Linked DNA regions of Macaca fascicularis. The protein of the gene in region 1 interacts with the protein of each later gene in a pairwise test. Links are inferred from orthologs where the notes say so. Each region holds a gene or a part of one and is shown on either strand. Other genes may lie near its edges.

Region 1 (9,708 bases):
TGGCTGGGCAAGAGAAAAGCCAAGGATACGGGCAAGGATTTGCCTCAACAACAACCAGAGTGACTTTCTAAAATCGGGTACGGTGGCTCACATCTGCAATCCCAGCACTTTGGGAGGCTGAAGCAGATGGATCACTTGAGGTCAGAAGTTCAAAACCAGTCTGGTTAAGATGGTGAAACCCCATCTCTACCAATAATACAAAAATTAGCCGGGTGTGGTGGTGCGTGCCTGAAATCCCAACTACTTGGGAGGCTGAAGCAGGAGAATCGCTTGAACCCCAGAGGCAGAGGTTGCAGAGAGCCTCTGTGGGCAGAAATCGACCACTACACCCCGGCCTGGGAGACAGAGAGAGACTGTCTCAAAAAATAAATAAACAAGTAAAGAAAAAACACAACATCACCCCTTTGCCTTTAAATTAAAAGGGTCTTGGCTGGCTACAGTGGCTCATGTCTGCAATCCCAGTACTCTGGGAGGCCGAGGCAGGTAGATTGCTTGAACCCAGGACTTCAAGACCAGCCTGGGCAACACAGCGAAACCTCATCTCTACAAAAATTAGCCAAGCGTGGTGGTGCAGGTCTGTAGTCCCAGCCACTCAGGAGGCTGAGGCAGGAGGATTGCTTGAGCCCAGGAGTTCCAGGCTGCAGGGAGTCGTGATCGCACCACTGCACTCCAGCCTGGGCCCCAAAGTAAATAAATAACACAATAAACAGGTCCCCTCTTTACGTTCCAGCCAAACTGACTTTCTGCTCTCCAAACACGTTCCCTCCTCCCGGGACGCCTCCTTCCCCGGTGCTGGCAGGACACCTGCTTCTCCCAATCAAGCAAGTCAAGGCTCACCTCTTCAGAAAAGCCCCCCAGGACCAACCTCTCTCTGGGAATGCCCCGTTCGTGTTTATTTGCTCCCTGGGACTGCCCTGTTCGTGTTTATTTACTCCAGAGCACCGATCCCTCCCTATCTTCGATCCTCTCTTGCTTATTTACTTGTTGAATGTCTGTCTCTGGCTCTAGAATTCCGGGAAAACGGGGACCGGAGTCCTCAAATCACGGCCTCCCGAGGGTTCGCCACGGGGCCCGACCCATCCGGAAGGGAAGCGCCATCAACTTTGCAGAATGAATGAAGCGCTGGAAAAGCTGGTTCGTTCATTCTGCAAACGAGAGAGCGGGGTCGCCCACCTCCCCCGCTGCCCCTCCAGCCCGGCCGAGGGTGGCTCGGGGACCACTCCGCTCCAGCCTTAGGCCCAAGTCGCGACCCCGGGAGGAGTGAGGGTGCAGGGGAGCCCGGGTCCGGCGAGCGGGGTAGTCGGTACCTGCGGGGGGCTTCATGGCGGGTGGGTCTGCGCCTGCGGCTCCCTCCCTCCTTCCACCTGCTACGCGTCCAGCCACCTCGGCCACTGAGGCCGCCTCTCTCGGCCCAACCGCCGCCACCGCCGCCACGGCCGCCTGAAGACCAAGCGACCCGCCGCCTGCGCACCCGGGGCATGCTGGGGCGGCGCGTGCACAGGGAGGGCAGGACGCACGCGTGCCCAAGCCCCGCCCACACCTAAAGGAGGCGGGCCGAGACGCTGGAGCTCTCTGCGCATGCGCTCAACCCTCCCAGTCCGTCATTGGTCTCGGGGTTGCGTGGGCGGAGCCTCTTGCGGTACCCCTCCAGAGCCGCTGCGGTGGCTAGAAAGGACGGTTTCCTTGGAAACCGCACGCCGCTGACGCCTCTCAGCCTCTGTCTGAGCGGTTCTTTCCGCGGAAACTTCGCCTGGGCTTCAGGCTACCGTGTTATTGTGTGCTTGCCTCCCTTCTTATAGCTGTGTGTTGGGCCAGTGTTATTATCGATCGCTAACTGTATCCCAGGCCCACTTTCCAGCATCTGAATCAGACGAATCAATTACATTAACCAGAAGTTTTGGTGTTTGGTTGTTTTTGAGACGGAGTCTCGCTCTGTCGCCCAGGCTGGAGTGCAGTGGCAGCAATCTCGGCTCACTGCAACCTCCGCCTCCCGGGTTCAAGCAATTCTCCTGCCTCAGCCTCTCGAGTAGCTGGGACTACAGGCGCGAGCCGCCACGCTCGGCTAATTTTCGTATTTTTAGTAGAGACAGGGTTTCACCATGTTGGCCAGGATGGTCTTAATCTCTTGACCTCGTGATCCGCCCGCCTCGGCCGCCCAAAGTGCTGGGATTACAGGTGTGAGCCACCGCGCCCGGCCAAGGTTTATTTTTTGTCAGAAACATAAGCAAGTAAACTGATTCATGTCAAATAACAGGTGTTTTGGAACAGTGCAGTAACCTGACCTACATCCAGTGTTGTGGGTTGAAACAAAAAACATCTGGAACCGTCTGTCTTGAACTGTTATGGCACCCAGAAAAAACAATGTACTACAATTAAACTGGCAAAAACGAAGCAACCGACCTCCTTTCCTTTTATGTTTTTTGTTTTTGTTTCGTTTTGTTTTGGAGGGACTGGACGGAGTCTCACTCTGTCGCCCAGGCTGGAGTACCATGGCGCGATCTCGGCTCACTGCAACCTCTGCCTCTCGGGTTCAAGCGATTCTCCTGCCTCAACCTCCCGAGTAGCTGGGACTACAGATGCCCGCACCACGCCCGGCTAGTTTTTGTATTTTTAGTAGAGACAGGTTTTCAGCATGTTGGCCAGGCTGGTCTCGAACTTCTGACCTCAAGTGATCTGCCCCTTGGCCTCCCAAAGTGCTGGGATTACAGGTGTCAGCCACCGCGCCCGGTCTCACCTTCTTTATTTCTGCAAAAGAAATTAAAATAATCCACGCCATTAATCGTGCATGTATTTCGAGTAGGACAACAATGAATTGGGAGAACATTTCTGTCAATTATAACTCAGATGGTGATCAGTTTTCTGTCGTCCTTGGAAATTTCTCATCTCTCATCTCTATTTTTTTTTCCATATGTCTTGAGCACACCAAGCTTTTACATTGGCCTTCATTTTTGCTGTTCCCTGTGCCTGGGGTCCGTTTGGACTTTTTCCTATCCTTGAAATCCAAATCTAAAGGATGATCTTTCCTACCCATACCATACAACTTAGCTCCCGGTGGCAATCACACCACCTTCATTTTTTTTGTAGTGTTAGCTGTGAAATTTCTTGTTTATCTACTTATGTACTAGTTTATTAGTTTATAGTTCGTCTACCCCAATGCAAAATAATGACAGTAGACACTTTGCTGGTTTTTATGACTGGTTTGCAATAAATATGGAATATTAGGCACCTGCTGCCTACTAATGTTTCTATTCTCACAAGCGTCTCATAAATTGACTGCATGAAAGAATGCATTTGTGGGTGAGTAGATGGGTGGGTGAATAAATGAACAAAGATAGCGAGCGGACAACACTGACTCCCATTCATTGCGGGGCTATGACGCTCTGGAGTCCAGGTGGCCAAACGCGGCTGCACCACGTGGCCGGCCCAGCACCACGTGGTCAGCTCGGCGACCGGCTGGAGTCAGCCACTGTTCCACCGTGCACCGCTTCGTTCCCGCCCTAGAGGGCAAACCAGCCCCGACTTCCGGCCTCCATTAGGTCGTAGAGGTCAGTTGCCCTAACGACCAGCTGGTTCCCGCCTCTACGTTGCGTCACTTCCTTCCACGCCCACCTCGATCATTAACGCGCCTGTGCAGAAGGGAAGCAACCCGGGGAGCCCTTCTTCTGCGCAGGCGTCGCGCCCGGGGGCCGGGGCCGGGCGGCTCCGCGGTGCGCAAGCGCAACCGTCGGTGGGTCGGGGATCGGTCGCCTGAGAGGTGAGTGAGGGGCACTGTGCTGAGCCTGGCGGGTGTGGGGTCTGCGACTCGGGGCTCACGGGGCCCCAGAGCCCGTAAGAGGTTGGGGATCGTGAGGCCAGGGTCAGCGCGACCCGCGGGGTCCTGTGAGTAGGCGGAGCGGAGGGGAAACTGAGGCCGGGCGGCATCGGCAGGCCCTTCGAGCCCTGATCTCCCTTCCCCGGGCCCCAGGTCCTGGAAATGCTGGTCCGCGGACTGGTGGCGAGGACGGCTGGAGGGGAAGGCGCCCCGCATGTACTGAGCGCTCGCTGGGTGTTCGCTGCCGTTCCGCTCTTACTAACTGCCTGGAAAAGTCGTCCCTGTGACTCGGGGACCCCCGTTTGTGGGGACTCAAGTCGGGGCTCTGGTCCCAGCGTCGCCAGTCCCTACCTGGGTGACCTTGCCCAGCCTCTTGGCTTCTCGGAGCCTCAGTTTTCCCGTCTGTAAAACGGGCGTTGTCAGAAGTCCCTGCCTGGGAGAATGAGAGCCGCCGCAGGGTCCAGCGGAATCTGAGAACTCCAAAGAATTAGCAGCCGTTCGTCTTATTTCATGTTTAGAGTCTTCTTCTGCATATCGTGCTAGAGGTGGGGGAAATCTGGGATTCAGAACCAGCCCACCACCACCACCCACCCGCTGTGTAAACCTGGATGAGTTGCCTTCCCTCTCTGAGCAAACCTTCTTTTTCGTAAACGAGTTGTAAAAGCAGATGTCTGGGAGGGTCATTATGAGGATAAGCCCACATTCAATGATTTGATCAGGTGCCTGGAACTTGATAAGAGAGAGCTGGCTTGAGAACAGCTGTTTTTGTTATTAGGTGGCAGAAAATTGCAGTGCAATGTGCCTCTCAGAGGTTGGATCATTGTCCCGTTTACTTTTGCTTCTGTCTCTGATTATTCGTTCTCTCTGCCTTTTCCCTCCCTTGACCAGTGTGGTTCTCAACCAGGAACAATTCTGTGCCCCAGAGATTCTTGGTGACATTTGTGCTTTTCACGATTCAGGGGACCCCCTGGTTTGGAGTCGGTGGAGGCCAGGGTTGCTGCTCAGCACCCTGCAGTGCCCAGGACGGCCCCACCCCAGAAAACGATCCAACTTTGAATGTCAATAACGCTTTAAAAACCACACCCTACCATACGGGTGGATCACCTGAGGTCAGGAGTTCGAGACCAGCCTGACCAATGTGGTGAAACCCCGTCTCTCTTGAAAATACAAAACTTAGCTGGGCATGGTGGCGTGCGCCTGTAATCCCAGCTACTCAGGAGGCTGAGGCAGAAGAATCCCTTGAACCCAGGAGGCAGAGGTTACAGAGACCCAAGATCACGCCACTGCACTCCAGCCTGGGTGACAGAGCGAGACCCTGTCAAAAAAAACCAAAAAACAAAAAAAACCTACCCTAGATCAGTGATTCTTCCCCAGCATGGGCAGCTGGGAGTGTGTGGGCCCGGGAAATGGTATACAAAGTTTTGTGTGTGCACCCAATTTTGTGTGGCGAGAAGTGGGCACTTTGGAGTTTAGCTTCTCAAGTGAGGCTGCCTGGGTTCAGAACGCCTCATTTGCATCCTCCTAGCTGGGTGGTCTTGGGTGGTTCCCATCTTTCCAAGCCTCAGTTTTTCTTCTGTGGAATGGGGATTATAAAAGTAACCACCTCAGGTGTGTGAGGATTCAACCGGGCAAGGTATCAGCTAACCAGAAGGCCAAATCCACCTCTGGCCTGTTTTTGGGAATGAAGGTTTGTGGGAACACAGCCACACTCCTTGGTTTGCATGTTACCTGTGGTTGGTTTCGAGCTAAGAAGACACAGTTGAACAGTTGCCGTAGGGACCTTAGCGCCTGCCGAGCTGAAGACAGTCTGGCCCTTTTCAGAAAAACCTCTGCTGACCCCTAAAATAAGCTATCGCATGTACAGCACTTAGCTGGGTGCCTGGAAAGCTGTAAGCGCGCCAAGGATTTGAGCTGAGGTTTATAATTAAATCTTCCTAGAAGGGTGAATGATTCCAAATGGGGGTGAGCTCTGCCCCAGATTGGACGGATCCTTGAGAGCGGCAGTCTTACTCAATTCTATGGTTGTTTTTTTGCCAAGACCCAACAGTGGCCCTGGTAGGAAGTGCTCGGTACAGGCCGAAGGCATAAAAGGGGTGGTTTGAGATAAGGTCTTGCTCTGTCGCCCAGGCTGGAGTGTAGTGGCGCAATCTCCGCTCACTGCAGCCTCGACCTCCCGGGCTCAGGCCCTCCCACCTCAGCCTCCTGAGTAGCTGGGACTACAGGTGTGCACTACCACACCCGGCTAATTTTAGTATTTTGTTGTTTTAGAGATAGGGTTTCACCGTGTTACCCAGGCTGGTCTCAAACTCCTGGGTTCAAGCGATCCTCCACCTTGGCCTCCAGAGTTCTGTGATTACAGGCGTGCCTCACTGCACCTGGCCCGTTTTCTCTTTTACTGAGGTGGAAACAGAAACCCAGAGAGAAATGGCCTCCCCATTTCAAGGAACTTGACCACGTGTCTGTGAATTTTTCAACCATCGAAGGCTTTCCTGAGTCCATAGGGTTTAGACGCTGCCAGATGCTGGCGTTCAAAGGGAAGCTGGGTCTGTCAAGAGGTAGAAAGCCTTGTAAGAGATGCTGGGCCAGAGATGGAGTTTGCAGGAATACTAGATTCTCTCCTAGAGTTGGGCAGGAGAGGTGAGCACTTGAGTTTGAGTGGCACGTACAGGGTTTGGTGTAGGCCCCACAGACGACCCCCAGCTGGTGGGGGGGCCTCCTATGCACACTCCTGGGGTTCCAGGGAGCACTTGAGGGCTTTTATGTGTACAGTGACCTCCTGGTGGCATTTTAGAAGAAAGTGGACTTCGATGTGGGGAGTGGGCAGGGGACTGAGCTAGAACTCGGGTGTCCTGAGAGGGAGTGAGGAGCAGGGCACCTGGCTTTCCTGCCCTGCTGTTGGTGAGAAGCAACGTGGATTTGGGATGGAGGCGGGCAGAGTGCTCACAGAAGGCGGTGGGCAAGAGCGGGCGCTTCCTACTGGAGTGTAAGGAGGTAAGATGGCCTCAGTTTACGAGGATATTCTGTTTTTTTCCATTGAATGATCCATTCTGGGCAGGGAAATAAGGAAGAGAGGTGGTTGTGAGTTTTTTGTCTGGTTTTAGAGACAGGGTCTCACTTTGTCACCCGGGCTGGAGTGCAGAGCCCAGTCACAGCTCACTGCAGCCTCCAACTCCTGGGCTCAAAACGATCTTCTCGCCTCAGCCTCTCAAGCAGCTGGGACTACTGATGTGTGCCGCCACGTCAGGCTAATTTTTTTTTTTTTTGGTGGAGTCTCTTTTGTAGGGTCTCACTGTACACTGTATAATAGCCCAAACTGGTCTCGAACACCTGGACTCGAGCGATTCTCTCGCCTCGGCCTCCCAAAGTGCTGGGATTACAGGCGTGAGCCCCCGCCCCTGACCGAGGGGGCCGTGGTTTGATTTTGTTTTCATTTTAATGATAAAATGAAAAGGTGGGATGTGGAGTCCTCGGCTCAGAGCCGAAAGGGACACTGAAGGCCCCTACGCGGGAGCTGGCGCCACCCCCACGGGCCAGCACTCCTCCCACCCTCACTTGTGCGGCCTCTGCCTTGAGACCAGGCCTCGGCCATGGCTCCTGCGCACCCATAAAGCCGTCGCTGTTGGGAGACACAGCAGGCCTTCTCTGAGAATGCTGTCCCGCAGCCAAACCCTCCAAGTTGTGGTTGTCCCAGAGACAGCGAGTGCCAAACGGCAGTTGAGGAACATGCGTCCTCATGCCTGCTGGACCTCCCTCCGAAGAGCAGAAAACTTTCTGACGGGAGAGCCCGGCTGCTGAAGCAGATTTGAGAACCGTTTGATGATGTCCCCCACCTTGGGGATGGCAGAGAAGCCACAGGTCCTAGCACCCCCGGCCTGTGTCACGTGCAGGGCGGGGCCGTGCTTACCGTAGGTGAGCTGTCCTCCACCACGGACCGCAGTTCTGACACCCAGAATACCCTGCAAACAGAAGGTTTTCAGAAAGTTCACAGCAAAGTCATCTGGCCAGAAAAAGCTGACCCGTGCTGACTTCCAGCCTTTCTTCTTCCCACTTAGTGGCCGCCATGATTTACAGCTGGGGGCGGTTTGGCAGCGTCTGGGGACGTGTGTGGTCGTCTCAGCCGGAGAGTGTTTCAGGCGTGCATGGGGGGGAGCCAGGGGTGCCGCTCAGCTGCCTGCCATGCGCAGGACAGAATCATCCACCCAAGATGCCCACGGTGCCAGGGGGGAGACACCTGCGTTAATTATTTGGGAAAAAATTGAGCCTGCTCCCTGCTCACACAGACACCAGAATAAACTTCCAGCGGGGCAGAGGGTGGGAATCGAGGTCCCCAGGTCCTCGGGTTCGCCGCCTCGCTCCCTCTCCGTGTAGCGTGTAGATTTATCTTTTGTTGTTTTGTTAGAGACAGGGTCTCACTTTGTCGCCCAAGTTGCTCTCGAACTCCTGGGCTCAAGCAACCCTCCACAGTTTGTGAATTTCAATGGGTGCAGCCTCCTGGGCCTTGGTAGAGCAAACAATCACGGGACACAGAGTCTCCTGGGGATCAGTGGCATCCCCTGGCCCAGGGAGTCTAAGCTGGGACACTTCTGCTCAGCTGTGCCCCAGGCTAACGGGGAGGGGGCAGGGTAGAGACCACGAGGCCAAGAGGTTCTCTGGGCCGTGGAGGGTGTTCCAGGAGAGAAAAGAGCACGTGCAAAGGCCCTGGGGTACAGAGGCGCTGGCGGGACCGGGAGGGAGGAGTGTGACTCAGTGAGGCTCACTGTTCCACTCTCTGAACCCTCAGTGGATCCCTAGCCACCCGCCACCCCGTCCAGTCCTCACACCTCAGTCTAAGAGAGAAGGAAACCGGTACACCAAAGATGAGATTTCTTGGTTTAGAAGGAGCGCACATCCCCCTCCACACACCCGCCCCCAGCGTGGATCGTGCTAGGCCCTGCGTGCCTGGAATGCTAAGCCGCGTTCCAGCTGTCACTGGTATGATCTTGCGTGTGCCACCTGTCCGGGCCTGTCACCCCTCTATAAGAGGGGGCTGTGACCCCCGCCTTCTAGGTTTAAGGGGGGACTCAGCCAGGTGTGGTTTCTTTTTTTTTTTTTTTTTTGAGACGACGTCTCGCTCTGTCTCCCAGGCTGGAGTGCAGTGGCGCGATCTCAGCTCACTACAATCTCCACCCCCCAGGTTCAAATGACTCTCCTGCCTCAGCCTCCCGAGTAGCTGGGATTACAGGCGCCCGCCACCACGCCCCACGCCCGGCTAATTTTTGTATTTTTAGTAGAAGCCAGTCTGGTCACGAACTCCTGACCGTCTCAGCCTCCCAAAGTGCTGGGATTATAGGCCTGAGCCACCGCGCCTGCCTCAGGTCTTGTTTCTCCTGCTTGCTGTTGCCTCTTCCGAATCTGAAGTCACCAAGTGAGGTGTGTTTGCATGGGGATCCTGACCTGAGGCCGCCTGTTACAGAATCCTTTCCAATGAAACCTCTAAAAAGGTGTCGGCACCATTCTCAGCTAAAGACAACTGGCTGGGTGGGACCCTCGTCTCAAAGACCCCAGACTTTGAAAAGAAACTGTTATTTTTTTTCAGGCAGGGTCTTGCTGTCTTTCCCAGGCTGGAGTGCAGGGGTGCTCACTGCGGCACGAACCTCCTGGGCTCAAGCGATCCTCCTGCCTCAGCCCCTCAAGCAGCTAGGGCTAGAGATGTGTGCCACCACACCCAGCTAATTTTTTAATGTTTTGCAGAGCTGGGGTCTCCCTGTGTTGCCCAGGCTGCTCTTGAATTCCTGTGCTCAAGTGATCCTCCCACTTTGGCCTCCCAAAGTGCTGCTGGGATCTCAGGTGTGAGGCGCTGTGCCGGGCCTTTTTTTTTTTTTTTTTTTTTTGAGCTGGAGCTTCACTCTTTTTGCCCA
Region 2 (9,832 bases), on another chromosome or scaffold:
TAGGATTTAGGTAGAACACAATAAAGGGTGTGTGAAATAGATTTTTATTTTTTTATTTTTTTTTTTGAGATGGAGTCTCACTCTCATAGCCCAGTACTGTGATCTGAGCTCACTGCAACTCTACCTCCCGGATTGAAGTGATTCTCCTGCTTCAGCCTCCTGAGTATTACAGGCACACACCACCATGCCCAGTTAAATTTTGTATTTTTAGTAGAGATGGGATTTCACCATGTTGGCCAGGCTATTCTCAAACTCCCAAACTCAAGTGATCCACCTGCCTCAGTTTCCCAAAGTTCTGGGATCACAGGCATGAGCCACTGCTCCCGGCTTTGAAATAGATTTAATGAGTCAATCTCAGGTTAAGATTGGGTTAGCAGCGGAAGTGTCCTCCACCAAACAGGTTCTGGGGATCAGCATGTGAGCAACCTGTTTTAGAAAAGCTCAATCTTGTGTGTGTCATTAATCCGCTATGCAGCTTTGAGCCTGGATCTTCTAAGGGATTCAGTCTCTTTTATGCAAGCTGCGGGTTTGGTCTAGGAGTTAGCATTTTCTGTAAAGGACCAGACAATAAGTATTTTAGGCTTGGCAGTAAATATTTTAGGTCCCTGTTGCCATTGTAGTGGAAAAATAGCCGTAGACAGTACATAAATTAATGGATGTATGGCTATGTGCCAATAAAACTTTATAAAAACAGGTGACTAGGTGGAAATTTGGTCCAAGGACTGTAGTTTGCTGATCTAGAAAACGCTTGAAGTCCTCTTTAGTCTTCACATTCTATGATGTAAAGATTTTTGTTTGTTTGTTTGTTTGTTTTTTGTTTTGTTTTTTTGAGACGGAGTCTCGCTCTGTCGCCCAGGCTGGAGTGCAGTGGCGCGATCTCAGCTCACTGCAAGCTCCGCCTCCTGGGTTTACGCCATTCTCCTGCCTCAGCCTCCTGAGTAGCTGGGACTACAGGCGCCCGCCACCGCGCCCGGCTAATTTTTTGTATTTTTAGTAGAGACGGGGTTTCACCGTGGTCTCGATCTCCTGACCTTGTGATCCGCCCGCCTCGGCCTCCCAAAGTGCTGGGATTACAGGCGTGAGCCACCGCGCCCGGCCTGATGTAAAGATTTAGAACCAATTATGTCAAAGATAATAATGATTATATATTATTATCCTCCTCTGACACCCATGGAAGACATTGCTAATTGGGCACAGGGTACTTTTCTCATGAGAAAGGAGTTGGCTCTAATCGGTCAATCACACATTAAGCAATCAGCCAATTGGAGATTAAAAAAAAAAAACAACAAAAAAAACCTTAAGCTGTAGCATTCTCCTTTTAATTAATTATTTAATTTTTTTTTGAGATGGAGTCCCATTCTGTTGCCCAGGCTAGAGTACAATGGCGCAATCTTGGCTCACTGCAACCTCTACTTCCAGGGTTCAAGTGATTCTCCTGCCTCAGCCTCCTGAGTAGCTGGGGTTACAGGTGCGTTTCACCCTTTCACCATGCCTGGCTAATTTTTGTATTTTTAGTGGAGATAGGGTTTCACCATGTTGGCCAGTCTGCTCTCGAACTCCTGACCTCAAGTGATCTGCCCACCTTGATTTCCCAAAGTGCTAGGATTACAGGCATAAGCCACCATGCCCAGCCCCTTTTCATTCTTTAAGAAACAAATATTTAGAAAACTCCAGACAATTTCTTGAGTGTGGCACTGAGGAAAATAGGAACAAACAGAGAGAGAGAGAACAGAAACTATGTGAGAGAAATAAAATTGTCCCCTGGGTAGTGCAGGTGAGAACAAAAATCTTGACTTGAGAGTGTCATTACCCACTGGCGGAAATCATATCCTCCATTTCTCTCTTACCTGCCCTACTAAATACCAACTAGGACTGAATGTACCTGGTTCATAGTAGTTACCTCATGCATATTAATTTTCGTCCTTTTCTTTTTCCACCAAAATTTGATTGATGATTGATTGATTATGTCCAAGTCTTCTGATCCACCAAAATTTAAACCATGGAGTGACTTTCATATAAACAGATCTGCTGCCAGTTGACTGTCTGGTTGTGGAATACTTAAATACTTCATGTGGGGCTGTCACTACTTGATAATGAGTGAGTCTTTCATGTCTGTGAAAAGTTCCACAAACATTCACTTTAGGAATGAATGGGAGAATTCTAAGCATGAAGATAGTGAGTCAAGAGCTTAGAGTTTGCAGCCAGATGAGGTTTGGTTGAATTTTATTTTATTTTATTTTATTTTTTTAAGACAGAGTATAGCTCTGTTCCCTAAGCTGGAATGCAGTGGCATAATCATGGTTCACTGCAGCCTCAAACTCCTGGGCTAAAGCCATACTCCTGGCTCAGCCTCCCAAGTAGCTGGGACTGCAGGCATACATCATCATGCCTGGCTAATTTTTAAAATTTTTTTGTAGAGATAGGGTCTCAATATCTGGCCAGGGCTGGTCTCAAACTCCTAGTCTCAAGGAATCCACACACCTCAGCCTCATGAGCAGCTGAGACTGTATGTATGTGACCCTACACTCAGCTATGGGCTGAATTTTAGAGATAATGATGACTCTCTTTATAATTAGAAGCAATCTATGCAGATTGGGTAGCATATAGAACGAGTTTAATTTTTTGCTGTCATGTGAGATCTGTAAGGGTTTTTGGGGAATTTTAGGAAGCAGTCCTCTAAGATCTCAAATTATCTCATAGCTAAATGTTGATTACAGTGACTGATGAGCTGCTTTCCCCCTTTATCTCAGATTCATTTCAGTTCTCTTTAGTGGGAAGGGATACAATTCATTTATTCTTTTCAGAGTCCCTTCATGCCCTTAATTTCATAACCCTCTGAGAAGGGCTGACTTGTTAGTATCATTTCATTTCACAGCTGAGAAAACTGAGCTCTGAAGAGATTTGCTGAGAGCAGAGCTCTTCTTCAGCTTTCATTTGTTGAGTGAATGCTTTTCCTGTGACAGGCACTGGGGATAAACGGTGTAAATATTTCAGGGAACTAAGTATCGGTTGGTTGAATGAGCTGAACTTTTGAGAAAGAAACTGCATTGAGCATTCAGCAGAGTTTCACAATGCCTTAGAGTCCAATAATGTGAAAATCAGAATTCGTAATGTGAGAATAGGATGTAATGCACGAAGTCTCAGCTGGGGGTCTGCATCTGGTTTCAGTTCCAGGTCCAGGTAGCACCTTTGCAATTGACCACTTCTTCCCCTCTCCACCTGTAAGGCTAATGGCCTCGGGTCTCGTGATGTTTAGGGCTCAGATGGACACTGAGATGGCCTCTTTAATCAGCCAACCTCTCAGGCCAACCTCTTCCCTTTCTTTTCTGGTAATTACTGTATTGACCTCAAAGCCTCACCTGGCATAGGAAAGATAAACCGTCTCCTTGGTGCCAGGATTTCTGGTCTCTGGCTAAGCTTCCTGCTTATGCAATAGTAGCTGGGAGAGGCCAAAAGAATTCTGGTTGGGCCACACCCACTGGTGAAAGAATAAATAGTGAGGTTTGGCATTGGCCATCAGAGTCACTCCTGCCTTCACCATGAAGTCCAGTGGCCTCTTCCCCTTCATGATGCTTCTTGCCCTGGGAACCCTGGCACTTTGGGCTGTGGAAGGCTCTGGAAAGTGTAAGTTGGGAGTCATTCTGGTCTAATCTGGGCTGCAGGGTCAGAGGTGCGGTCTCCTGGTGATGTGGGTGTGTCCCCTTCTGTAGGCTCTGATCTCTCAGCTTAGTTTCAGGAGACCTCCCTGAGAGTGGAATACATGTCTGGCTGAGCTCCAAGGTTTCTGTGAGGGTTTCTGAGCTTCTGGAAATGCTTTTTCTATGCAACCATGCTGTCGGCCCAGATCCCACTCTCTCTCTCTCTCTGTCTCTCTCTCTCTTATCCTCTGCCTTCTTCACCTGTCTGTGACTCTCAAATCATTAGTTTCTGACTCTGCTTCTTCTTTGTGTCTTCGCTTCTGCTATTTTGTCTCTGTGTTTCTGCCTTGGGCTTTAGCTCTCAACTTCTCTCACACTGGTTCTATTTATCTTTGTTTATCTGTCTCCATCTCCATCACTCCCAGCCTTCCTCTCTGCCTTTGTGTAGCCCTGTTTTGCTCTGGGGTGGGAGGTCTTGACTAGAAGCCTGCTGCCCTTTTCTTGGGTCTGAAACATCCCCTGTCCATTTGTCCAATTTAATCAAGCCCATCAATCCACCCGGAGATCAGGCAGGCATGACCCTTTGGGCTTTGTGGATAGCTCCTGAGGTAAGGGTCTCTCCCCCTCAAAAGTGGTGCTTTGTTCAGCAGGCATGATGACTTCTCAGTGCCCAGCCTACTCCTGACCTCTTGACTTTCTCTTCAAAAGCCTTCAAAGCCGGAGTCTGTCCTCCTAAGAAATCTGCCCAGTGCCTTAGATATGAGAAACCTCAGTGCCAGAGTGACTGGCAGTGTCTAGGGAAGAAGAGATGTTGTCCTGACATTTGTGGCATCAAATGCCTGGATCCTGTTGACACCCCAAGCCCAAGTAAGCAGATCGGGGAACTGGGTAGAGAGGAGTGAGCCTGAGGACACAGCATTAGGGGGATGGCACTGGGTGATGGGTCCTGCCAGGCCTCCTTGTCAATCAGTCAATGAGTCACATGCCCTAAGCAGGAAGGTAGCCAGCAGGTGGTGAAGCAGCGGGCATTTAGATAGTCAGGTAGTTGGAAGCCTCCCACCTAGTCAGCACTGGACGACTGGCCCCCTGCATCAACGGGGGCCTGATGTTCTAGGACAGCCAGGTGCTATGTTTGGGGGGTGACTTACGGAGAAAGTGGTGGTGATAGAGATCGGGGGGGATGATCCGACCTGCTCAGGTTGCAGCAGGGGCTCACTCTAAAAAGTGGAGATAGGAGGGGTTGTGTAAAGTACAAGGCCTCTGACTGGTAGCCTCACTCTCACCCAGCGAGGAGGAAGCCTGGGCATTGTCCACCAGCTTATGGCCAATGTATGATGCTTAAACCCCCCAATTACTGTGAGATGGATGGCCAGTGCGAGCGTGACTTGAAGTGCTGCATGGGCATATGTGGGAAATCCTGCGTTTCCCCTGTGAAAGGTAAGCAGGGGCCGAGGGCACACTGAGCTCCCTCCATCTCAGCCTCAACCCTCTGGAGGCCCAGGCATATGGGCTGGGGGACTCTTGACCCCTATTCCAAGCAGAGCCTCTGTCTGACTCCCTTGTCCTTCAAGAGAACTGTTCTCTAGGTCTCAGGGCCAGGATTTCCATAGGATCACCTGTGGCTTTGATTCTATTCTAGTGTCTCTGGGTGGGGGTCCTGGGCAAGTGACTTTCTGAGTCTCAGTTTCTTTATCGGTAAAATGGACATAATGAGATTGAAAGTGCTCTGCAAAGCACTATGTGCACTAAGAATTTATTATTCAGGTTGTTTCCGTCATGTTTTCTGAGGTTAAATCCCAAACGATCCGTGGAGTTTGAGGATTATCTAATTCAATGCTTTCAATTTAGAGTTTTACGGTGAAAATGAGACTTGTCTCCTGACACTAAGTCTCTCTCAACTATAGCACTATCTTGCTATTTTCTTTATCTCAGGAGGATCCTTGGGCAGAAGGAAGGATGTGAATATGATTTGGCTGATTTCTATGCTGAAGCTCTTATCTGATTTTCTCTCACAGCTTGATTCCTGTGATTTGGAGGAGGCTCTGGAGTCCTGCTCTGTGTGGTCCAGGTCCTTTCCACCCCCAGACTTGGCTCCACCACCGATATCCTCCTTTGGGGAAAGGCTTGGCACACAGCAGGATTTCAGGAAGTGCCAGTTGATCAATGAATAAATAAATGAGCCTATTTCTCTTTGTACCCTGCTTCTGTGATTCATTGGGGTTATGAGTGGGGTGGGAGGCTATGAGGGAAGATCTAGCTATGAGGCCTTCCTCCTATGGGTATATAGTGGGAGGAAGAGGCATAGGGACTGGGGGGACTTGAATTTATATCATGAGTCTATAAGTACTGGCTCTGTGATTTTGGACAAGTGATTTTTATCTCCTAAATTTCAATTCTTTTGTCTGTGAAGTGGCAATAAAAGTCAACTTCTCACAGCATTTGGAACATTGGAGGAAGCATTGTGTGTGTAATAAATAGCAATGTTACTAGGCCACAGCAAGTTCTCAAAAAATAGGGGCTACTTGTGGCCTACTGGAGTGATTTTGAGTCTCTTTAATTTCCTCTCTCTCCCACGACACTATTTCTTCTATTTTACGATGAGAACGTTACCATAATGGGTAGCATTTATGGCACACTATTGGCCATACCATGCAAGGGTGGTGGTGTCCTTGACTCCACGGAGCAGGAGTAACAGGAACTGGGACTGCTAAGAGCTAAGGAGCAGGCAAAGGGCCTTGCTCCACATTGCTCTGCTTTGTGGATTCCAGAGGAAAGAGACAACTTGATTAGATAAGATTTTAAAAAATATTGTAATTCAATCCTTCCCTGGAAAAAGTCAGCAAACTAAAAATTCTTCCTTACTACTTTCAAACAATGCTCTAAGAGCAGCAAGGGAATATATTAAATTAACAATTCAATGAAGAGGAAAAAGAGGGAGAACCATTTTATTTATTTGATGAGTGTGGCAGTCACCCTTCACGTTGGCCCCCAGTGATCTCACCTGTTGGTATTCACACCTTTGTGTAGCCCCCTCCTGCATTTTTCCACAGTTAGTTTGTGTGACTAATAAAACATTACAAAAGTGAGAGATAGTTATGTCCTCACGAAATTAGATGATAAATGTTTGCAGCTTCCATTGTGGAGGCATTCTCTCTCTCCTCAATCACTTACTCTGAGGGCATTCTTTTGGCAGGTCATGAGGAAACTCAGGCCATCTGTGCAGTGGCCCACAGGGTGAGGATCCAACACTTCTGACCAACAGCCCATGAGGAACGGAGGCCCATCCATAAACACATGAGTGAGCGTGGAGTGGGTTTTTCAGTCTTGCTCTAGTCTTTTATTTTTTCTGATAGAATCTCACTCTGTCGCCCAGGCTGGAGTGCAGTGGCATGATCACGGCTCACTGCAGCCTTGAATTCCTGGGCTCAAGTGATCATTCTACCTTCGCTTCCTGAGTAGCTAGGACTACAAGTGCACGTCACCACATCCAGCTAATTTTTAAAAAACTTTTTTTAGAGACGAGGTCTTGCCATGTTGGCCAAGTTGGTCTAGAACTCCTGGGCTCAAGCAATCCTCCTGCCTTGGCCTCCCAAAGTGTTGGGATTACAGGCATGAGCTACTGCACCTGGCCCGCTCTAGTCTTGAAAAGACTGCAGTCCCAGCAGATAGCTTGACTGTAATCTCATGAGGGCCCTGAACCACAACTACCTAGCTAAGCTAATCTAAGCGGATTCCTGACTCTCAAATTGTGAATTGATGTTAATGGTTTTAAGATGCTAAGTTTTGGGGAAAGTTGTTATACAGCAATTGATAAGCAATACAATGAATTTAGCAAAAATTTGATACTACAACCAAATATGGACAGTAAAAGAAAATTATGAGCCAATGTCATCTTCTACAAACATAAGTATGAAGATCCTAAGTAAAATGCTAAAAATTAGAATTCATCAAGGTTTTAAAAGCTTTCATAGAGTTCAATGTGAATATGAATTTTTTAAATTAAAATTAAAAATAGAAATAAATCCAGAAAAGGTAACATACCTGAAATTCTGTAGCAAAATCTACATTAAGTTAATTTTTCAGAGGCATTGTCACTGAAGTAAGACAATAAGGATCATCAGTATTTTCAACAATGTATGAAATATTTAAAACTGTGCAGCTAAATGAGATAAAGGAAAAGATTGGGAAGAAAGATACAAAATGGTCATTATTTGCAGACAGTATCATTTCCTGTATAACAATTTGAGACATTCAATAAGATTGATAAAATAAGATTTACCAAAGTTGCTGGGTATAAGGCCTACACAAAATTCTATAGCATTTCTACACATTGTTTATAACCAATCAGAAATAATAGAAGTAGACATAAATAGTCAAAGAAAGTAGCCAGAAGTAGTCAAAGAAACAAATGCTACAAAATACCTAGGAATAAGCCCCCAAATTGTGCCAAACCTTCATGGATTAAAAACAAATTTTAGAAATAAAGGTCTAAAATATGAACTCAGTAGATAAAAAAATAATGTTTATGTTTGGGAAGGCTTAATAAGGTAAAGATAATGATTTCTTTAAAATTATTTCTAAATCCAATGTGATTACAATAAAAAACCTAATACAATTTTTGAGAAGAACTTGACGAAGTGATCCTACAGTTAATGTATTATTATAAAGGTTGCAGTAGAGCCCGTAAAGTTTTTTAAAAGTACAAGAATGGAGGGTAGCTAGATTAGGTATCAAAATGTGCTGATGATATAATAATTAGGGTAGTATGATGTTGGTACAGGAATAAACAAATAGTCCAGTGGAATGGAATACCTACAAGGACATCATGAGAGTGACACTATATGAAAAAAAGACTATCTACAAGGAGACTTGTATATTTGTGGACATTTATTATAAGAAAGAGAGGAATTTTTACAGCTGGGTAGAGCAAAGCTCATACTAGTAATGACAGCAATTGGCTTTTTTTTCTTTTAAAGTTCAAACTAATAACTTTTATGGAGTTTAACAATAATCTCTAACATGGTTATTTGATTTCCGTTTATTCTTTTCAGCCACTACATTTTAAATTTCTTTTTTAAGTTTTTAATTGACAAATTATAATTGTATATGCTTATGGGGTACAATGTCTTGAAATATGCATGCGATGTAGAACGATTAAATAAAGCTAATTAACATATCCATTACCTTATGTACTTTTTTGTGCTAAAATCATTAGAAATTTACTCTTTTTGCAGTTTTTAAATAGATAACACATTGTTGTAAACTATATTCACCATACTGTGCGATAGAGCTCAAAAACTTATTCTTTTTGTCTAATTAAAACTTGAAATTTTGACCAACATCTTCTCTCCCCAACCCCAGCCTCTGGCAACCACCATTCTACTCTACTTCTATGGGTTCAACTGTTTTTCATGCAAGTGAGATCACCCACTACTTTTCTTTCTGTGCCTGACGTTTCATTTAGCGTCTCGTCCTCTGGGATGTTCATGTTGTCACAAGAGACAGGATTTCCTTCTTTTTAAAGGCTGAATAGTATTCCATTGGATATATATACCACATTTTCTTTATGCATTAATCCCTTGATGGACACTTGGGTTGATTTCACATCTTGGTAATTGTGAATAATGATGTAATGAACATGAAAGTGCAGCTATCTCTTCACCATACTGATTTCTTTTTTTTTTTAATTTATTTATTATTATTATACTTTAAGTACATATGTAACAAACCTGCACGTTATGCACCATACTGATTTCATTCTGTTTGGATACATATCCAGAAGTGGAATTGCTGCATCATACGGTAGTTCTATTTTTAATTTTTTGAGGAACCTTTATACAGTTTTCCATAATGGCTGTACTAATTTACATTTCCACCAACAGTGTGCAAAGTGTGCAAGGGTTCCCCATTCTCTACATCTTCTCCAACACTTATCATTTGTCTTTTTGATGGTAGCCATTATAACAGGCATGAGGTGGTATCCCATGGTGTTTTTCTCATTGTAGTTTTAATTTGCATTTCCCTAAGAATTAGTGATGTTGAACTTTTTAAGAAATATACCTGTTGGCCATTTGTATGTCTTCCACTTGTATACTTCCTTTGAGAAATGTCTATTTAGGTCCTTTGCTCATTTAAAAAATCACACCTGAGAAACAGCCTTATGGGCTACCCCTGGCAGGAACACTCCCAGGCTG

The links. The genes of interacting proteins can lie anywhere in the genome.
Region 2: the proteins of SGTA (region 1) and SLPI interact in binary tests that used the Homo sapiens proteins (3 or more experiments, as listed by UniProt). The two-hybrid records come from large-scale screens. The link is inferred for Macaca fascicularis from reciprocal best matches to the Homo sapiens genes SGTA and SLPI.

Annotation. Positions count from the first base shown.
Region 1 is NC_088393.1:3,460,606-3,470,313, reverse strand, and holds the start of SGTA (small glutamine-rich tetratricopeptide repeat-containing protein alpha), read left to right. Parts: upstream 1-3,713; 5' UTR 3,714-3,754; intron 3,755-9,708. Other genes in the region: THOP1 (thimet oligopeptidase), read right to left, coding at 1,308-1,323. UniProt on the Homo sapiens protein: Co-chaperone that binds misfolded and hydrophobic patches-containing client proteins in the cytosol. Mediates their targeting to the endoplasmic reticulum but also regulates their sorting to the proteasome when targeting fails.
Region 2 is NC_088384.1:101,333,582-101,343,413, reverse strand, and holds SLPI (antileukoproteinase), read left to right. Parts: upstream 1-3,518; 5' UTR 3,519-3,539; coding exon 3,540-3,624; intron 3,625-4,346; coding exon 4,347-4,505; intron 4,506-4,925; coding exon 4,926-5,075; intron 5,076-5,653; coding exon 5,654-5,658; 3' UTR 5,659-5,834; downstream 5,835-9,832.